Kluyveromyces lactis: one gene and its partner. The protein of the gene in region 1 purifies or fractionates together with the protein of each later gene. This does not show direct contact. Links are inferred from orthologs where the notes say so. Each region holds a gene or a part of one and is shown on either strand. Other genes may lie near its edges.

Region 1 (2,423 bases):
TACAAGGTTTAATCAATGTAAAAGAAGCGCTTGGGTTGTGGCAAAGCAAGTGACATTTATAAGATGAGAAAGTGCAGTATAGTGGTGATAATATTTAAGTTTCTTACAAAATAAAAGAGTGTAGGTATATAAAAATAATTTATAGGTAGAAACACACAAAACAGAAGAGAGGTAGAAGAGAAAATGTCAGGGAGGGATGGTCACTTGAAACCAGATGGAAACAAAGAAAAGAACGAGGAGAAAAAATTAGGAAATTCAACGGAAATTAATTGCTGACATTTGTATATTAAAAATTGATCAATTAGAAACAAATGAATATGGTTTGTTCGTCTTCCCTCTTCTTTTTTTTTGGATCTTTACTTCTGCCAATTAACGGTTGTAAACAATTCCCATCGCCTAATAATAATATCCTCAAAGCTCAGTCCTCTGTTTCAAGGTAAATTCAAATGAAGTTGGAGATAAGGGGGTGAAGAGTGGGTTTGGGGCGTGCGTGTCTTTATTTACAAGACGACACACTTCTTTTTTTTGCTAGACTTAGTCTTAGGTTTGCTCTTACCTTGTTTACCGACCAAAGAAGCTCTTGTAGCAGCCTCGAAGACTTCTCTGACACCGTAACCGGTCTTGGCAGAACATTCGATGTAGTCAACAGCACCGATTTGGTCAGCGACTTCTTGTGCTTGAGCCTGAGACACAGGTTGTAATCCTTGAGCTCTTAGTTCTTCAACAACTTGAGGATCATTTCTCAAATCTGCTTTACAACCAACCAAGATGATTGGAACACCTTGACAAAAGTGTAAAACTTCAGAGATCCATTTTTCCATCACGTTTTCTAAGGAATCTGGCAAATCAATTGAGTAACAGATTAACACAACGTTGGAATCTGGGTACGAAAGTGGTCTCAATCTATCATAATCTTCTTGGCCAGCAGTATCCCACAACGCCAATTCTACGCGACGACCGTCAACTTCGACATCAGCAACGTAATTATCGAAAACAGTGGGCACGTAAACCTGAGGGAACTTACCCTTGGCGAAAACAATCAATAAACAAGTCTTACCACACGCACCATCACCGACAATAACTAGCTTTCTTCTAATGCTGGCAACATTACCAACAGCTTGAGACATTATGGAAAGGGTTAAAACAAATCAAATCACTACTTTTTTTTATTGTATTATAAAATCAAAGCTGTTCGAAAACTCTTGAGTAATTCTGTTTTATGACACTTAGAAGGAATCTATATTTCTTACTCAATAACTTGCTTTAGAAACTCTATCCTTGATTGATTCTTCACTAGTTAAAATAGGAAAATAAAAACAACCCGAAATAAAAATCAAACCTCTTAGAAAACTAACGATAAGCTCTGTCTTTGACCTATGATTTAGTACCGTCCGTATACTGAATCACTCACAACAATAACCTGTATCAATAGTAAGTCTAGACCTGGTTTCTACACCTCGTTCACTCGAGTCCAGTTTCACTTAATGTTGTTGTTGTTATTATTAAATTTTTGTATCTTTAAACTTATTTCAAAATTCCTAAATATACACTTTTCCCAAAACTTTCGATCTGTCTATGGGAATCACACACAAAAGACAGAAAAAGCGAAAAATTTCAAATTTGAGAGAAAAATTGGCGATTCTATGGTATAAAAAAGGGTACATTTGTGTGCAATCGATGCAATTGCAACGGTCGACGCACGACTCAGTGTGTGAAACTTGTGTGTATCTATATAGTGGTATTGTAGTGAGAGTCGAGCGGAAGAGCGATAGAATTTGGCGTTTAATTGACCCGGATCATTGTCAAATACTGGAGCTTTTCCTAATCTGAAACCGAAATTTTTCAGCAGCCACGTCTAAGCCATGATGAGAATGAAAGAGAAAAATAGCATATGGTACAGTACAGTACAGAATATGCATAACAAGCTAAATCACTCAATATGTAGAATAGCGGTCTTTATTGTGGTTATGTGCCCTGTGCTGTGAAGTACAGTCCATTCGTGGAGTTTTTCTTCAGTTTTAGTCATCATTATGTCCACAGGATGCGAACGAACTGTGATCTTGCATGTAGTAGTTTTGTCCACCGGGTATCTTTCTATGCCATGGATTGTGTTTCTGACAAAAACTATTATCCCTTCAGTAGTGAATCTGTCATTACCCCAAATGATGAGCCAGTTTGGTTCGAAAAATCTTGTTTTCAACGTATCTTCCCTGATGAAGTTAATCCATTCGTACTCTTGTAAGCTTACGAGGGCTTTGGTGCCATATTTGATAAATTCATTGATTCGTCCCACTTGGCAAAAGGATTCATCGGAGTCTAGTTCTCGTTTCAATTTCATGAGTATTAGATTTGAAGAAACTTTCAATTCCGAGATTTCGTGGTGGAAACCGAAGTCGTGCTGTATAATTAAGTTCGTTGTTGTA
Region 2 (2,313 bases), on another chromosome or scaffold:
TGCCACCTCCGATGGCACCAATGAGACCAGATTCTATTCCGTTCGGATATCAGATGGTAGCGCCAATGGAGTATATGTACTACCCTATAGGAGCTCCAATGACTAACAATCGAATGATGATACCAGGACAACCAATGTATGCCATGCCACCACCAGTATTTCAACCTTATGAGAAAAAGAACAGTGGTAAAAATGACTCTAATGGATACAAAAAGAATGGAAAACCCATAAATGAAGCACGTCATTTTCGTTGCTGAAGCAAATAAAAGTTAGATCTAATCATAGACGTATATAATGCGATTACAAACATAATGGTTTTTACTTGTTCATATTGAAATGTTTCAGCTTTTAGAGAACGCCAGCTACGTTGTTCAGAAGATGGGCCCGGGCAATGACTAGCCTGGACATGAACATTACTTCGTCACTAAAGATTCATCCACAATCAATGTCTGATCAATGGCGAAAATATTGTCACAGCTTAGAGTATGTATCATAAATCATCACCTTTTCACAATTTCAACACCCCAATTCAAAGTCAAATGGTTGTTCTTATCATCATCTATGAACTTTGAGACTGCAGAATAATTCCCGCGAACAAGGAAACCACTTGGCGCTTCAGATTCAGGCAATTCCACCTCATAAAATGGGTTCTTTGTGGTATTTGGAGCATACGAACCCAAGTGGTCATCAATCTTATCAACTGCAATGCCTGCCTTTTTGGTGTATTGCACGTATCTTAAGCCAGTAATAATTTCGTGTTGAACCTTGAAAGTGATCTTCAAATGGTAAATAGATTTTTCTTTGATCTTGTATCTCTTTGAGGCCAGGTCTTTCAAAGTCTTCTCGTTTGTCAAATCAAACGTAATTGGCGCTGGTTCTGTGTCAACGATCAACTGAATCTTCTGGATCACCACACGACGTTCATCCCCAGGATGTTCCAATGGTAAAACATCACCTCCCAATCCTAAAGAATCTTTCCATTTTCTTAACGCCTCATCATCAGCATCTAAGTTTTTGTATTCTTCTACAGTCTTCTTCTCCCCGACTTTGTATGTATCGTTTTCTTCATCGAATTGTTTAAACTCCTCTTCTTCAGACATGGCTAGAAACGGTCACGGCAACTCACGAATGATATCACTGAGAGTGGATCCAATGTTTGATTAAAAAGATTTAAAGTATAAAGCGAGAACTTTAATGGCGTTGGATCAACTCTAACGCCCAAGCTATCAAATTGCCAATATTTTGCATGTGTTCTTACACAGTGTCAAAGTCCGCTCGAGATCTGATGTCGTTAGTTAAGAAACCTCAAATAGTTGCACTTCGAGACTCGACACGCATCAGTGAAAAGAACGAAGTAAAAATAGGAAAACCATTGACAGCACGTGACTTGAAAATCACGGGGATCTCCGCACGTCTAATCACTTCACACTCGCCCTTAATGATACATGGAAATCCTATCACAATTCACATCACAACTGATCAAACACAGTATATATATATATAGATATATTAATAAAGAAACATGTTTGTATGCTAGTTCATTCGACAGCTTTATCCTGACATTTCCGATTACGTGAAGAGCCTAATCGAATAAACTGGTTTCAACGAAGAGCGTATCAACGTTACCTGCAAATATGACAAGATTGCCCAGTATCGATGAATTCAAAAGCTCATCACTTAATGAACAAATTGATATTCTAGACGTATTGTTTGAACACAGTGATTCTTTAGTATGGTTCACTCTCCAAAATTCTCGATTCATGGCTAGTGGATGGAATTCTTACGTGGAACTCGTCAACGCCATTAAGGATAAATTATTGAAAGTGTGCGACGATACAGAGGCAGAAGGAATTAGCAGCCGTGGTGTAGATCATCTGGCTAACATAGTGGGTGCTCATCCAAGACTCGGAGATTCAAAACAGAAACTGTCTGTCCATTCCATGAAAGAGCAAGCCAACTTAACTGGTAGCACAGTCGATTCTTTAGAAATTTTGACATGGTTAAAGACTTTGAATGACAAGTACGAAAAGAAATATGAGGGGTTGAAGTTTGTAGTCTTTGTAAATGGCAGATCTTACGATAGAATTAGTAAACTGATGGAGCAAAGAATCAATTCCAATAATACGTGGTTCGAAGAGTGTAGGATAGCCATCAACGAGATGACAGATATCGCCATTGACAGACTTAACAAATGCAGTGAAATTAAGGGCAAGATATAATATTCCAAAAACGAAAGGTAAATAATAACACTTGAAGCAACTATAGTTTTTCTGATTCATTGCGAGGGCAGCGTTACATTCTCCAAATATATCA

Evidence for each region. The genes of interacting proteins can lie anywhere in the genome.
Region 2: the proteins of RHO1 (region 1) and RDI1 purify together in Saccharomyces cerevisiae (affinity purification with western blotting; 3 studies listed by BioGRID, with this or other methods). This does not show direct contact. The link is inferred for Kluyveromyces lactis from reciprocal best matches to the Saccharomyces cerevisiae genes RHO1 and RDI1.

What each region holds. Positions count from the first base shown.
Region 1 is NC_006038.1:935,201-937,623, reverse strand, and holds RHO1 (Rho family GTPase RHO1), read right to left. Parts: upstream 1,128-2,423; coding exon 501-1,127; downstream 1-500. Other genes in the region: KLLA0_B10604g (uncharacterized protein), read right to left, coding at 1,931-2,423. UniProt on the Saccharomyces cerevisiae protein: Acts as a central regulator in the cell wall integrity signaling pathway, which is regulated by the cell cycle and in response to various types of cell wall stress.
Region 2 is NC_006042.1:523,345-525,657, forward strand, and holds RDI1 (Rdi1p), read right to left. Parts: upstream 1,101-2,313; coding exon 501-1,100; downstream 1-500. Other genes in the region: RBS1 (Rbs1p), read left to right, coding at 1-257; KLLA0_F05335g (2-oxo-4-hydroxy-4-carboxy-5-ureidoimidazoline decarboxylase), read left to right, coding at 1,635-2,219. UniProt on the Saccharomyces cerevisiae protein: Regulates the GDP/GTP exchange reaction of the Rho proteins by inhibiting the dissociation of GDP from them, and the subsequent binding of GTP to them.